2 linked regions of the Ovis aries genome follow. The protein of the gene in region 1 purifies or fractionates together with the protein of each later gene. This does not show direct contact. Links are inferred from orthologs where the notes say so. Each region holds a gene or a part of one and is shown on either strand. Other genes may lie near its edges.

Region 1 (8,214 bases):
GAGCGAAGCCCCGCCTGCCGCCTGCCGCCAGGAAAGCGAGGAAGCAGAAACCACGCGCCCGCAACGTGGGGACCGCACTCACCAGCCTCGCTCCAGTGCCCCGAGGCTGGGCCACCACAGGCACCACACGCTGCACAAAGCCTGGGCCCTAGACCCCCCACCATCTCCCAAGGGGATTCGGTTGCTGTCCCTGCCTTACAGGTGAGAGCACTGAGGCCCAGGGAGGGGACCGCTTCCCCAAGGCCACAGGGTGGACTCAGGGGCCCAGGAAGAGCTGTCGACGGAAGCAGAAGAGGCTCTGAGAAGTCTGGGGAGGGATGCTGCCCCGGGACGCGCGTGGACAGGAAGCCAGGCAGGGCAGCCAGCCCCCTTCCAGTTGGGCTGGAGGGAGGCCTTGCCAGCGCCTCAAACAGCCCATTCCACAACCGCTGGGGCAGGGGCGCTCTGGCTACCTTTCATGGACGGGGAGCGGTCACCCCCGGGAAGGATGGCACAGCTGCTGGCTAGACGTGCCCATGTGCACTCCTGATGCAGAGCCGCGGAATCCAGTGACAACCTTAACGTTATGCTATGGAAACACTCAATCTAGGGAGGCCTGAACTTCATCGCCTGACTCACGCCCAGCACAGAATGCTGGGGGTTCATCCTGTGTCCCCAGGAGCTCTTTGCTAGGAGTGATTTTAGCTTCCACAGATGTAAGACATTTCTGCGGTTCTGGCATCTGGCTGGTAGAGGCTGTGAAATGCAACCCCCGACAATGGAGAACGAGCAGGCCCACCGTGCCAACAGCACCGCTGTTGAGGGGCACTGCCGAAGTCGGAAGCGAGCGGGCAGAGAGCCTAAAGCCCACTCTCCAGCTCCAGGCCACTCATTCTGGGTTTAGAATAGCAACGGATGGGCTCCTAGGATCAGCTAGCCTTCGACCTGATTTCCGTTAACTTAAACAGCAGAAGCCAATACTTCAGGCCGGGCACTGAAGTGCTGAGCACACAGCCTTTCCCCAGGGCTCCCGTGTTTTCTGTCTCATCAAAATGGAGAACAGATTCTGTGCTGGGATCTCAGGGAGTGACAGAGAGCCTCTGAGGAGCGTTCCCAGGAAACCCCCTACACAGGACCAGAGCGGGCGGGGGCATGGGGCATGATTTCTCTGCTCGATGTCTTTTCAGCCAACTGTGGTATTTACTGTGACCCTACTCCTGAACTACTGACACAAACTATTTCAGAAGTACCTGTGAGTTTTAATAAACAGGAGAGTCCAAACAGAAGTGGAGACAACCCTGTGTTGACTGGCAGCTCCCAAACCTGTTTTTTATTGTCTAGCTGTAACGGCTAACAATCATGTTTGAAAACTGTTAGAGCCTTGGGAAATTTTGGCCACTTAGATCTGGGGCTTGGGAGCACCCTTTCTTTAAGAAGAGTGCCGCAGACTCTTCTAATCAGGAAGTCTTAGGGATGCAGCTTGTGTGGACGCAGGGCTGATGCCGGAGCCCGCGGGGATGCTTTCTCAAGCAGCTCCCAGCGAAGGTGCAGTAAGAGGCTGGTGGGCACAGACACTAGAGAGAGGGGGGCGGGCCACGCGGCGCTCGGAGTGGTGGTCACGACCTGCAGGCTGGCCCAGCTGGCACGGAAGCCGAGGCAGGCCCGCGGAGCTCGGACCCAGGGCGGCGGGCAACAGACCACAGGGCCTGGGGCGGAGTGGGGGACAGGGGGTCTGGAATTGCAGCCGTGCGTGCAGGGGTTAGAAGACAGGGGTTCGGGTCGCGCCAGGGGCTGGAGGGGGCGCAGCGGTCTCAAATCGCAGCAGGGGGTGCGGGGGCTGGGGGGCAGGGTTTCGGGTCGCGCCAGGGGTCTGGAGAGGGAGGTCAGAGGCTGGCTCGGGGTCACGGGTCGAGGGCGGGCGCAGGGGTGGGCCCGGGCGCGGCGGATCCCGCACTCACCGATCTGCCCGATGAACTCGACCTTGATGCCCTGGTGCTCCAGCCGCTTGTTGGGGTTCTTGAGAGCCAGGCTCACCTTCCCGGCCACCGTCTCGCCATCGTAGAAGAGGAAGTACTTGTCCTTCTTCCCATCCTCGGTCTTGTGCTCGGCCCGCCGCCTGCTATCCGCGTCGTTCAGCAGGATGTCCACATCCACGCTCTGCCCGAAGCCAAAGAAGCTCATGGCCCTGCCGGGCCGGCCGGGCCTGGGGAGGCCGGCGGGCTGGGCACGACGCCGACGCCCGCGCTCGCCGGGCCGGCGCGGTTCCGAGGGCGGGGCAGAGCGGGCGCGCCAGGCACCCGCCGGCCGCGGCCTGCGGAGCCCACCTCGGAGGCAGCAGCCCGGCCCCGGAGCAGCTTGCAGCGCGTCCGCGGCTCAGCCGGACGCGCCGGAGTGGCTGCGCGCATGCGCACGGCCCGCCCCCAGCGCGGCCGCCGCGCCCCCGGGGAGCTCGCACTGCGCCTGCGCGCCGCGAGCACCGCCCCACGCCCGGCAGCCGGCGGGGCGGCGGCGGCTCCTTCCTGGCTCCTGCCCGACCTGTCAAACACCAGTCCAGTAAAATTCAGACCTAACGGTGTCCTTTCTAAAAAAAAGAGCCCTTTCTGGCTGCCTTTTCTGCCTTTCCTGTGTTTAATCCGTTGACCGGTAGGCAGCTCCCCCACTCGGCTGTGTACGCCTCCGCTTGCTGAGTGACGGGTAAACGCGGCCCTTCGACAGGCCGCCTGACAGGGGGCAGAAGTGACAGTTACAACAGGAAGTGCCCTGCTTCAGCTTCTCTTCAGTGCGTCCGCCACGTAGGGAAAAGAAGCCGGAAGGCAGTATGCTTGGCTCGTTTCTTTAGCCTCACTTTGAAGCGACAGCTGAAAACCCCCAACTTCAGTTGCGTGGGCGGTGCTCTCTCCCTTTGCGCATCCGGCGGAAGGCCCTGCTGATTGGCTGCCGTCCTGCCAGCGGGGCGCGGTGATTGGTCGGTGCTGACCTTTGACGTCAGCGGGGCCTTCTGGGCGCGCGCGCCCGAGCAACTTTGAAAGTGAAGTGAGCGGCCGTCATGGAGGCTGGCGGGAACCTGGCGTGCGCCCTGCAGACCTGGTGCCCCCTGGACCTCAGCCAAGGTGAGGACGCGCCCGGGGCCCGGGTGCTCTGGGGGATGCTGGGCAAGGGCCGCGTCCTCCTTCTGCTCAGTACTCCTGTTTCTCGGCCTTGCCCCCGCGTCTGCGCGGACAGCCTCGCAAGTGCCGAGGCTTCGGCCGCGCGGCTGTTTGTTGGCCCGAGCTGACCTTCTGAACGTGGGGCCCAGGGGTGCGGCTGGAGCCTCCGGGCGCCCGTCGTCACTGAAGGGCAGTGGGTGTCCCCACCCGCCGCAGTCGCTGCTGGCCGCTGTCTCGAGGCTGCGTTCCATTCCGCGGCATCTCCGTAGCCGGCAGTCATTTTTTTTTGAGTCATTTCATTTTGTTTCCCTCACCTGTCCTTTTCCACTGTACACTTTATTTGGATTTATTAGCTAGTGACTCAGACGGTAAAGAATCTGCCTGCAGCGTACGAGACACGGGTTCGAGCCCTGAGTCGCCAAGATCCTCTGGAGAAGGGTAGGGCAACCCACTCCAGTGTTCTTGTCTGCAGAATCCCGCAGACAGAGGAGCCTGGCGGGCTACAGTCCGTGGGGTCACAGACAGTGGGACGCGACTGCGCGACTTCAGCTTCGTTATAAGACTTTCACAAAGGGGCAGCTGAGACAGCTTTTTATTACCTGTTCTCTAGCTTGAACATATGGGAAGGCTGGGTCTTCCCCAAAACGGTTAACATCTGTAAAGTGTTTTCCTACTTCATGTTTTTAGAGGATGGCCAGCATAATAGCCAGCTGTCAGTTTAATGAGTATACAGATTTTTCTAACCCTTTCTGCTTCTCTCTTCATTCTGCCTCACCTGTGTGGTATGACTTGTGCCCAGAAAACTGTTCTATTCTTGAATGTATTTAGAGTCTAAAGCTAACTGCTACAGAACATTAGTTGACTGTAGTTGCATTTTCCTACTAGAATGGGTGGATGGAGTATGGGAACTGGAATTCACGGAGACCGAGCCTCTGGATGCCGGCATAGAAGCAGAGATCGTGCAGACTGGACTGAGCGCATTCACAGAGCTTTACAGCGCAATGCTACCTTTTGCTACTGAAAAACGTGACGCTGCTGAGGTAAAAGAGAGGAAAAAAAAAAAAACAAGCTAGCCATTTCGTTGTTAGAAGTGTCAGGTAAACCCCGGTATCATCTAGAGCTTGGTCTCTTTGGTATGCAGTGCAGAAGGAAGGAAGAGCGGTGTAAAGAATGCGGTTCACTTACTGGGATGGCCTCATAACCGTCTGGGATCACTTACTGGGATGGCCTCATAACTGTCTGGGGTCGCTTACTGGGATGGCCTCATAACCATCTGGGATAACTTACTGGGATGGCCTCATAACCGTCTGGGATCACTTACTGGGATGGCCTCATGACTGTCTGGGATCGCCTCATAACCGTCTGGGATCACTTACTGGGATGGCCTCATAACTGTCTGGGATAACTTACTGGGATGGCCTCATAACCGTCTGGGATAACTTACTGGGATGGCCTCATAACCGTCCTCCCAAGTTATTAGTCTGTGATTCTTTCCGTGTCATGAGCATTGTTAACGAGCAAATTAAAGGAAAAGAGTAAAGGCCAAGGTAAGGATGAAAACCAATAAGCGAAATAAGAAAAAATGGCCAAGGACAGTGCAGTTAACAACTCAGGATGCCTTTGCTTTAAGGAAATTGAATGTTGATCTGAGAAGTGATTAGTTGAACTAAGAAAGGAAAAAAAAGAGTTGTTTTAAATGGAGTTCTACGTAGTGTCTGTTACGCTTTAGGTCATAAACTTCTTTTCAAAAAACTGAAGGACTAGAAAGCAGAACAAAGAATACTTATGTATTAATATCTCCGAAAGATTTAAACTTAAAAAATATTTCTGTTATTAGTTTCAGGTAGCTGTTCAGAAATTAAATCGACCTGTTAAATACTCGTTAAGCGTAATGCTGAGTACCACGTGCAGTACCCAGGAGCGTAACATGGTGAGGGTACAGAGCCTCTCCCTACAGGGGGTTGCAGGAGAGGGGAGAATTAAGCTCTGGGAGCGTGCACTGTCATTGCTCTGGCCAGAGCCTGTGCAGTGACCACATCCACGGGCCTGAAGAAGCACGGGCCACCAGCTCTATGTGTTAGAAACTTCTGTAGGACACGTTAAATGCCATCTTGGCTTGCCTGGAAAAGGCAGCTTGCTGAGGTTGAGGCTGGGAAGGTCCCAGAAAGGTAGCTGGCTGGAGGCACATCTTCACAAATGGCTGGAGTGCTGACCAGTAATGAGGATTCCAGGGCAGCCTTGGGAGGGATCCTCACAGTGGGGATGTACAGCAAGTCCGAGGGGGTGGGGCAGGGTGGAGGCCACAGGACAGCTGTGAGTGGGGTCTGTGGTAGGCTTCTGGAGTGAGGTGTTTGCTGTCCACAAGGTTCAGGTCTAAGCGTCATCCCTAGACTAAACCGCTTGTCCTCCCATCTGCCTCTTGGAGGAAGGGGTTCTAGTGTGCAGTAGACCCAGGAACATGAAGAGTGCTGTTTCAGTGGGTGTTCTTAACCAAACACAGACTTAAGGGGGGAATGCTGTCCCCAGGGAGCTCCCTAGGGACATTATGACTGACCCCTGAATCCCATGGTTTTGGCTGCACAGGCCCACTTCTGTGCAGAGTTTTCAGTAGTACCTACAGGACTGCATGGTCCCAGGAGTTTCAGTCCCTGGATGCAGAGCCGCAGATGTGAAGGACCTGTGTCTGTGGAGGGCCGGCTGTGAATTACGTGAGGATTTCCCACTCGCTCCGTGTCGTGCAATAGTCAGTTGTGTTTTGCTCATTGATTTTTTGAAAAATGTGTGTTGTGGTGTGGTCTGGGTTACAGTTGTGGAAATTGGGGTGGAGGGCTAAAAACTGGGGACTCTTTTCAAATAGAGTTAATAGAGTTTTGTGAACTGGGTCTTTGTCAGGTATGAAATGCTTCCAAGGTGATTGGGTCCCCCAGGGTCACAGTTCCAGGCAGCGGGAGGGGAGCTGAGGTGGCCTTAGAAATGAAGATGTAACTGCTTTCTTCCACAAGCTTCGTGGTGAAGGAAAGAGGTTGTCGAGGTCTGATTTCTTGAGCTTCTGTGGGCTTCTGTTTTTTAAGGTGGCCCATAGTGAGCCATATTTCGCTCCTACTGTTTGCTTTACTCAAATAAGCTATTTCCTCCTCATGTCTATAAGAGGGGAAAGCGTGAATAGTGATCAAAGTAATGAAAATATGGTTTGTGGTCTAAGGCTTACTTCCTCTCCTACCGAGGCTGTTTCTGCAGTCTGTTGAGCGAGACACTCACAGGTTTTCCTCTCCTGCTCCCATTGCCCACAAAACATTTTGACTTAAAAAAAGTTGCTCTGATTTTTTTAGTTAGTAATTAGAGTAATAAATGGATTGAGATACATTTAACATAGATGGAGGGGTGACTTGTCTGAGTAATCACTGACAGAGGTGTCCCCAGAGTCTTAGTGTAGCTTTCAGGTGTAGTAATTTCAGAAATACATACGCTTCAAACTTACCCAAAGTTATTTTGCAAGTTTAATTAAGATTCTTGTATAGTTTCTTATCTTTGTGATTTTCGTTTACTTTTTCTTTTATTGGCTGAGCCACTCAGCTTGTGGGATCTTAGTTCCAAACCAGTAATGGAACCCAGACTCTCCCCAGTGAAGGCATGGAGTCCTAACCACTGGACCACCAGGAAACTCCTCAACTTTGTAAATTTTGAATAATACACTTTTAAATGTTCTGTTTTAGTCCCTTTGAAAATGGCAGACGTTTATAATTAGGAGGCAGAATGGTCTGTTCGTTTTTTTATAGGGCACTAAGCACTCAGAAGAATCAGAAACAGCAAGAGGAGACTCTCACAGCGCTCTAACGACTGGTGCTTACCGTTTGCCCTCCCCTAGAGCATTTGGACCTTCTTCGTGGAGAACAGAATTTCCCACAATGCGCTGATGGCCTTGTTTCACCACTTCGTTTATAAGGCCCTTAAGAAAAATGTCAGTGCTCAGCAGCAGGAATTTGGCCTTCACGCCGCCGGGCTGTATTTTCTGCTGTTGGAAGTACCAGGTATGCACGTTTGGTGTGATGGGGCAGGCCTTCTGTTTGTAATTTGTCTGCTTGGTTTTGAACTGTTACATCAATGCTTTGTCCTTGCTGGGAGGTTAGGTGACAGTGAATCTGTGAAGCCCATGGTCTGTCACAGGTGTTCAGAAAGCTCCCCTGTTTTCCTGTAAATGTGGCTTCGGATGTTACCGTGCTAAGTCTGTAACCCAGCACACAGTCCCAGAGGGGTAAGGCTGGAGGGGCGTGCCCCGTGCCTTCGTGGTGTCCCTGCCTTCTCACTCCTGTCCAGCCTGAGAACAGTGCTGGTTGGAGGGCTGCTGCTCTTCCCGCTGTGTCGTGTGGACGGTCGGTGGGCTGTCCTCACCTGCAGGGCTGAGCACAGCTAGTCACAGTGAGGGAGCCCAGGGAGGAGTGTGTCTGGGATGGTGCCCCACCTCGTCCAGGCGGGACCCGCCCCGAGCCCAGGGCAGGAGACGGTGCGGCTGAGGAGTCAGCTGCAGCTGTGGGACTGCGAGTCCACCAGAGAGAAAATCAGGGTCAGTCAACCTGCTGCTTGTAATTGCTTATGTCGGTGCCTTTGTAGTAAATGTTAGGGACCTACTCCTATGATCTGAGAATTGGAAGAAAAGCTATGACCAACTTAGACAGCATATTAAAAAGCAGAGACATTACTCTGCTGACAAAGATCCGTCTAGTCATAGCTGTGGTTTTCCCAGTAGTCATGTATGGATGTGAGAGTTGGGACTATAATGAAAGCTGAGCACTGAGGAATTGATGCTTTTGAACTGTGGTGTTGCAGAAGACTCTTGAGAGTCCCTTGGACTGCAAGGAGATCCAACCAGTCCATCCTAAAGGAGATCAGTCCTGAATATTCATTGGAAGGACTGATGCTGAAATGCCAATACTTTGGCCACCTGATGCAAAGAGCTGACTGATTTGAAAAGACCCTGATGCCGGGATAGATTGCAGGCAGGAGGAGAAGGGGATGACAGAGGATGAGATGGTCAGATGGCATCACCAACTTGATGGACATGAGTTTGAGCAAGTTCCAGCAGTTGGTGATA
Region 2 (7,693 bases), on another chromosome or scaffold:
AGTGTCTTGTTCATCACCTCACTATGTGAAAGAAGCTATCTCTAAGCACCCAAAATAATACCAAGCAGTCTGCCTCCTAAATTGTTGTCCTTTCTGTTTTTGCACTTGTTTTACACAGATACTGACCTCAGTCATTATAGTTTCTTAGCTTTTGTTAGTTCACAAATTAAAAATTTACTAGAATAGCATAAAAACAATAACTTAACAGTAAAATAGAAAATGGATAAAATAAAAATATAACCAAGGCAAAATTTCAACACCTAGTAAATCTGGACCATTAATTTTGATGCAGACACTCATAATTACCTTAAATCTGAAGGCCTTCCTTATTAGGAAAAGTTTTATTATACATGTACTGTATTTGAGTTTGTGATTCAGTGCTTGGTAAAATTTGGATTCTGTTTCAATAAAGATAAAGCATAGTACCTATTTATTCCTCTTAGATTTTTAAGCTGTATTATAAATTAGATTATTGAGGCATGCTGTAAATGAGTCACAATATCTTGGTTTTCTGCCCAGTTCAATAAGTTAAGGTTTAGGCCTTGGATATTATAAATATCCTCTTGACATATGCATGCTATTTTTATGTTGCTTTTAAAAACTAAATGGTATTTTCCACAGTTGCTTAATATCTCTGATATAGTGTAAATATAAATTAAAACATAGGAAGTTAGTAAACAACAGGGAAGAAATGTGTTTAAAACCTTGTTTAGTATACTTAAGCTATGGAAAATAGAAATAACATTGAGGAGGACTATAAAATTTTTGTCAGCTTCAGATGCTAGCTTTATAGCAACTTAAAACTTGTTTGGGTTTCTGTCTACCATATTACCACTGTTTGTGATTTGGAGCTTTCAACGTGACTTCAAATTCAGGTTTTACATTATTATTAAAATGTATTGAGGTTATTGCTTTAAACTAAAACTACTTTGTAATTTCACATGGGATAGGTATGTTTTCTGAAATGAGTGGTCTTCTAAGCATAGACTGTCAGCCCTTAGATTATACATGAAATGACACAAATTGGAAAGGTAAGGAAGAAAACAAATAGCAGGTGGTAAGGCAGTCAGAGAACATCAAGGAACAGAACCACAAGAAAGGTCTCAGGTTGTCATTGAAATACCACAACAGTCCTAATAGTCATATGACAGGCAGAGGCCTAAATGTTCTAATGACCTGTTGATTCAGTAGTGTTAATTGATAATAACCATTTTTTAATGGATCCCATATAACAAATGAAAACAATGTTATATGGGACTTGAGATGGAAATGTTGATTCATAAATGTCCTTTTCTTTCACTTGAAAGTGTTTTTACTGCTGGGCAGCCTTGTTAGAATGAAAAGAAATCAGAGCTATATATCTTTAATTTTAACTGGAAAGGGAGGAACAAGTGACCAAAAACAAGCAACCACTATGCTTTGTTTGAAGCTAGGCAGTCTCCTAATAGTAGTATTCCATCACTTTAGTAAATAGTTTGGCCTGAAAAGTATAATACCTTTAGAAATATTTTTTATGATTGTTACACCAAGTCATAACTTCTGGTTATCTGAAAAATGTATGCCTAAATAATACCTTATGTGATTTGACTCAGATACGTAAGTTCTCTTGGCATGGCTTTTCATTTATCTTATTGTAAGTGTTCAGCTATTCAAATCAGATCAGAATGTTAGACTATTTGGTGTCAGATATTTGGATTATAAACACAGACATAAAAGAGTTAAACTGACTACTTCCAGGTTAGTGATTCTCAGCTGGGAGTACTTGTTGCTTTCTCTCTCACCCAGTACATGTAGCATTGTCTGGAGACAGTTTAGGCTGTTAACAGCTGGGGGAAGCCTCATGCTGCTGGCATCTAGTGGGTAGGGTCAGAGATGTTATTAAACATCTTATGATACTCAGCATAGTTCCCCACAACAAAGTATTCAGCCCAAAATGTCAGCAATGTTGCTGTTGATAAACTTTGTTTAGATAACAACTGAATAAGTCTTGGCTTGTACAATGGCTAGAGTCTCACCTATTGTGATCCAAAGCTTTAGATACTCTTCCAGGCTTAAGTTCTGTATAAAACCTAAAGCTTGCCTAAAATATTTGGAAAGAACTGATAATTGAAAGCAGATATTTCAGTTATATAAATTGAAATATTTATATAAAAATATTTTATATAAATGTCTACATGTTTTAGTTTAAACACTAATATTTAGCTAAATCTAATTCATACATACCCAAGGTTACAGAGAAATCTAAATGACAGGCTCTTAGGATAACATTTCACCTTGTGTTTTATAATCATGTGCTGTTTCAAAATACAGAAAACTGGTCATCTATAAATTTTTTTTTAATTTTGATTTTTAATGAGTAGATTCTACCCCCTCCAACCCCCCCGTTATGGGGTCTTAGATCCCCAACTGGAGATCAGACCAGTGCCCCCTGCAGTGGAAGCTCAGAACCCTAACCACTGGACCGCCAGGGAAGTCCCTAATAAGTAGATTTTTCAAGGAGTTGTTTTATCCTTTCTTGTTTGATCTTTAGTTTTTTTCTACTGTATATAATTATATTGAAGATTTTGGAAATATGATGCTTTGTCATTAGCAAGTTTTAACCCAGATTTTTAAGTTTCATTTATAAATACTGTAGATACTTAAATTGAGACAGAATATATGCCCCTTTTAAAAAATTTTTTTTTCAGGATAACATTTTGTGCTGTTTTGCAGAAATAAAGGGGTATGTTTTTAGTTTTCTACTTGTCTGTCCCTTTTCTTCTGTTGTAATAAAGAGTACAGGCAGACTACTAGTGTGGAGTAAAGTAGCATTTTGCCTGAGCATATTCAGACAAAATTTTCTCCCCCATCAAGTTAAATGGCTGCCTTTCAGTCAGCCTTGAAAGTTACTGACTGTACTTTTTTCGTTTCTCTTTGTAACTGAACTGCATAAATGCAAATATATAATGTTAATCTTAGATTTTAACTATAGTTTAAAAGTTGTTATAATAATAATTGCAAGCAAAAGTTTTCCAGTGTTGTATATACCAAGACCTTTAGTTTGCAGTCAGTTTTCCTGTTACTACCATGAGAGAAAATAGTATTTCCTTTTTCGTTTAATGGCTTGTTTGTTTGTTTAGAAAGTAAGAACATCATTACTTGCATTGTTATATACTTTTATTTATGTATTTATTTTTGGCTGTGCTGGGTCTTTGTTGCTTTGCACAGGCTTTCTCTAGTTGCAGTGAATGGGAGCTACTCTAGTGTTGTGCAGGCTTCCCATTGCAGTAGCTTCTCTTGTTGCAAAGCTGGTCTCTGGAGCACAGGCTCAGTAGTTGGCAGCACACGGACTTAGTTGCTCTGAGGAATGTGGGATCTTCCCAGACCAGGGATCAAACTCAAGTCTCTGGCAGGAGGCTTCTTTACCACTGATCCATCAGGGAAGTCCTATTTGCATCTTACTAAAATCTCTTTATGCTACTGATTCATATCATTTAGTTTAATGTTGGATTTGCTAATTGACTTGTTTCTAGTTCTTACTTGAGGCTGATGTAGCCAAACATATACAGTGAGTGTGAAAAATTACTTTTTTTAAAGGGTGAAGTTGAACAAATTGCTATGATGAAACCAAAAGGCCAGACTGAACACGATGAGGGTATGCTTGAATATTTAGAAGATATAATTGGTTCTGGACGACTGAATGAACCTATTAAAGTCTTGTGTCGGAGAGTTGAAATATTAAATGAACACAGAGGAGAGAAGGTGAATCTTCCATAGACTTTTGTAAACCAGAATGTTTCATTGATTAACAGATTTTACTAAGCCAGATAATTCAAGTTATGATAGATCATAATTGTTTAAGCAAAGTTTTATGTTTTCCTTATTAATATTTCAGAGAAACATTGTTTTATGAATGTAGTTTGTTTTTATCTAATGTTGGCATATTTTAAATTCAGACTGTTCAATACACTTAACATGAACAATTTCTATCCTTTTAACTTTTGTAGTTAAACAGAGTTAAAATGGTAGAAAAGGAAAAAGATGCCTTAGAAGGAGAGAAAAACATAGCCATTGAATTTCTTACCTTGGAAAATGAAATATTTAGAAAAAAGAATCACGTTTGTCAATATTACATGTAAGTACCTTAATTTATCAACTTTTGTATTAATCTAATCTGTTCTCTCTTCCTGTATTAGAGAAATGTGAAGACTGAAGTAAAAAAAAAAATTCTGCAAGTGGTTGTGATGAATTTATTAAATTAGAGTTTTTGATATAGTAGTGAAGTTAATTTTTAACTATCCTACTTGAAGTTGGGTTCACAAATATCACTATGCTTAATACTTAATAGTTTTACTTATAAATTCTTTTTAATTCATTTAATAGCAGATCTAATTGTGTTTATATGGATCCTATTTTGGTCCTAATGCTAGCTTTGACCCTGGGTTGGTTTCTTCCTTCCCCCTCCAAAGACCTAGATATAGAAACAGCTGAATTTACTTAAAATAGTTTCAGACTTTTTAAAATGGTACTTTAGGATCTCTGATAGCTTTTTTTCTCTCTCTAGTTATGATCTGCAGAAACGAATTGCTGAAATGGAAACTCAAAAGGAAAAAATTAATGAAGATACCAAAGAAATTAATGAGAAGAGCAATATACTGTCAAATGAAATGAAAGCTAAGAATAAAGCTGTAAAAGATATAGAGAAGTAATAATCTTTTGGAAAGTACTAAAAGTAGATTATTTTATTACATGTATGTGTGTGTGTCTATATATAAACTTAATACAGCATATGAAGGCAATATATTTGCCAGCATATAAAATATTTTAAATGGTTTCTTTTTGCAACCAAAAAACTGAACTGCGTTTCCAGTTTATCACAGGTTTGAGTGCCCAACTCTGGTCTTTAATAGTGGAGAATGCTACCCCCTAGTGGCAGAACCCAATAATACAAAACATCATTGCAAAAATAGGTATTTAACCTGACAGGTTAGTTGTCTTAAAGTTGTATCATTACTTTTTTCATGGCAATCTTCAGTGATACCAGTATCCCTTACCTATTCAGTTTTCGTTTTTTTATTCTTTAAAATGAGTTTTGCCTGTTTTTTTTTAATGGTCAAATTTTTATATACCTAGACATCATAGTCACTATTTCCAATCTAGCTTTGAAGGACAAAATAACCCATAACCACACATTTTAACAACTTCTTCAAATATGGATGGAGAGGAGGGTTAGCTTGAAGCAGGTAGTATTAGGATCCTACCTTATAAGAACTTGGTACACTTACATAGTGGTTCAAGCAAGGTATATAAAGTCACTTTAAAATATCTGAATATCCAAAATAGTGACTGATAATTTTCTTACTTTGCTAGGAAGCTGAGTAAAATTACAAAATTTATTGAGGAGAACAAAGAAAAATTTACAAAACTAGATTTGGAAGATGTTCAAGTTAGGGAAAAATTGAAACATGCTACAAGTAAAGCCAAAAAACTAGAGAAACAACTTCAAAAAGATAAAGAAAAGGTAGGTTATGTGGGGGAAATGCTTAATATTTCATGTCTGTCGGATGTAGTTCTTATTTTTCATGAATGTTCTTGCCCCTTAGAAAATGAATTGGAATTCTGAATGTTAAGGGCTTCAGGATTTATCTCTGAACCTAATTCTCCCCCTCACTCACTATGGAAATCCTGCATTCATTGACTTTGAGTTTTAGAGCTTATGTATCTGATGTACATTGTTGGAGAATTGTTTACCAAATCAGTAATTCTATTTTGTTGACAAAATAATCTTTCTATAATATATGGTTTAAAAAGAGGTTTGGGGCTACATAGCATAGACTTTTAAAAGTAGTACCTTTGTCTATAGAAATCAAGTTAAGAATATCAGCAGGAGTTTCTCTTTAGAAAGGAGGGAAGAGGAAGCCATAATTTATAGCAAGGGGTTGATTAGCTAGTTTGAAGATTTAAAAGATGATGAACTTTAGACCAGAGTGCCTAATTTGCTGGGACCCAGACTAATAATTAATTTGGAGCATTTCAAATATATTCACAGTTTAATCAGGTATTATAGAGGCAACACTGAAAGCCCCTCCCCTCAAAAAAGTTTTGTACCATATATTTACATGGTACTTATAGGCTCTGCTTTACCTTATAAGCAAATGCATTTATTCACAAAATACTTTGTGTTACAGTAGTAGCACATCTTATATGAATCAGTGTTTGAGGGATAATGTTTTGGGAAGTGTTTAATTTCTCCCGTTATAGATAACCAGATTAAGCAAAATACCATGGATGTCATTGTAACCCCTAAATTGGACAGAGTAAGCCAAATGTAACTTAAGTAGTTATTAACCGTTGGACACCAGCTGTGAAAGAGTGATTATTACTGGAAGGTATTAATGGAATAAAATACGAGTCCCACATAGTGACTCTGAAAGGGTAAAGTTGGGAAAGATCTTAGGATTTGAGAGAGACTAGGGGGTGTAAAGTTGTAATGTACCATGTACCATGAAGGGTACTTAAGGAATTACATGTACTCAGACCATGTTCGTAGGTGAAGAAAGTTAATTACAGCATAAAGTTAGAGCAGAAGGAAGAAAGATATAAAGCCCAGCCAAGGAGAATTGTCTTTTGTAAGGAATCAAGAACTCATAGAATTATCTTTACCTGATTCTATGAATTAGACTGAGAATATAGAAATTATAGCATATGGTTAAGGAAGTATACTTGCTAAAGCTAGCAGGTTCAAACCTAATTACAATGAAAACTGCAAAGATCTAGAAGATCTTGAGAAATGCTTTTAAATAAGTCAAATATTAATGGTATTGGATAGCCTAAAGATACATGCTCCTAGTAACTTTTTAATTTGTTTTATAATCTTAGGTTGAAGAATTTAAAGGTATACCTGCCAAGAGTGAGAATATCATAAGGGAGACAACAACTAAAAACAATGCCCTTGAGAAAGAAAAAGAAAAAGAAGAAGAAAAATTAAAGGAAGTTATGGATAGCCTTAAGCAGGAAACACAAGGCCTTCAAAAAGAAAAAGAAGTAAGATTTCTTTTATCAGTTGGTGTTTATTTTGATGGCTTTTTTCCCCTCCTATCTTAAAGATTATTTTTATAGTAATAGTAAAAAAATGAACTATTAGAATGAAAAGTTTGGGCTTTTATCTAACATCCCCAAAAAACGGTCAACCTAGACTCTCCTTTTTTTGTTTTCTGCTTTCTCATTTTAAAAAGACGTTAACCGAGAATGAGAACTTAAAGTGGTAGAAGAAAATGCATATCACATACTTTGCTTTATGTGCTTTTCTCTATTAATGTTGGTTTAGTCATCACGTTTTCTCTTCTCTTAAATTATTTTCTTGGTAATTTAATTGCTTGGGACCACACTAACCATAGGTCGACATCTCCCTTCTTTACTTTTGTAGCTCTTGTGTAATAGTTTTAAAGCTATGGCTCTTGTGTTCATTCTTGGTTGCTTAAGTCAGTTACATATAAGATCTTTGTAAATTATACCTCAGTGAAGTGTTTCGGGGTTTCTCGACAGACTAACTATAAATTGATTCTGTTTTAAAATATGGACATGTTCTGATATCATCTATAAGAGTTTATAAGTAGGATGCCTATGTGATAAAGTGGCTAAGTATCATACAGTCACTTTCCTAATAGAATACTTTAAGATCAGTTTTTCACATTTGCTCATCTCATGTATATCA

What was found.
Region 2: the proteins of NCAPD3 (region 1) and SMC4 purify together in Homo sapiens (co-immunoprecipitation; 3 studies listed by BioGRID and IntAct, with this or other methods). This does not show direct contact. The link is inferred for Ovis aries from reciprocal best matches to the Homo sapiens genes NCAPD3 and SMC4.

The regions. Positions count from the first base shown.
Region 1 is NC_056068.1:82,068,142-82,076,355, reverse strand, and holds the start of NCAPD3 (condensin-2 complex subunit D3), read left to right. Parts: upstream 1-3,009; 5' UTR 3,010-3,025; coding exon 3,026-3,089; intron 3,090-4,010; coding exon 4,011-4,165; intron 4,166-6,901; exon of another isoform or gene 6,902-6,990; coding exon 6,991-7,153; intron 7,154-8,214. Other genes in the region: VPS26B (vacuolar protein sorting-associated protein 26B), read right to left, coding at 1,938-2,160.
Region 2 is NC_056054.1:227,741,205-227,748,897, reverse strand, and holds part of SMC4 (structural maintenance of chromosomes protein 4), read left to right. Parts: intron 1-3,576; coding exon 3,577-3,741; intron 3,742-3,986; coding exon 3,987-4,114; intron 4,115-4,543; coding exon 4,544-4,684; intron 4,685-5,349; coding exon 5,350-5,500; intron 5,501-6,858; coding exon 6,859-7,023; intron 7,024-7,693. UniProt on the Homo sapiens protein: Central component of the condensin complex, a complex required for conversion of interphase chromatin into mitotic-like condense chromosomes.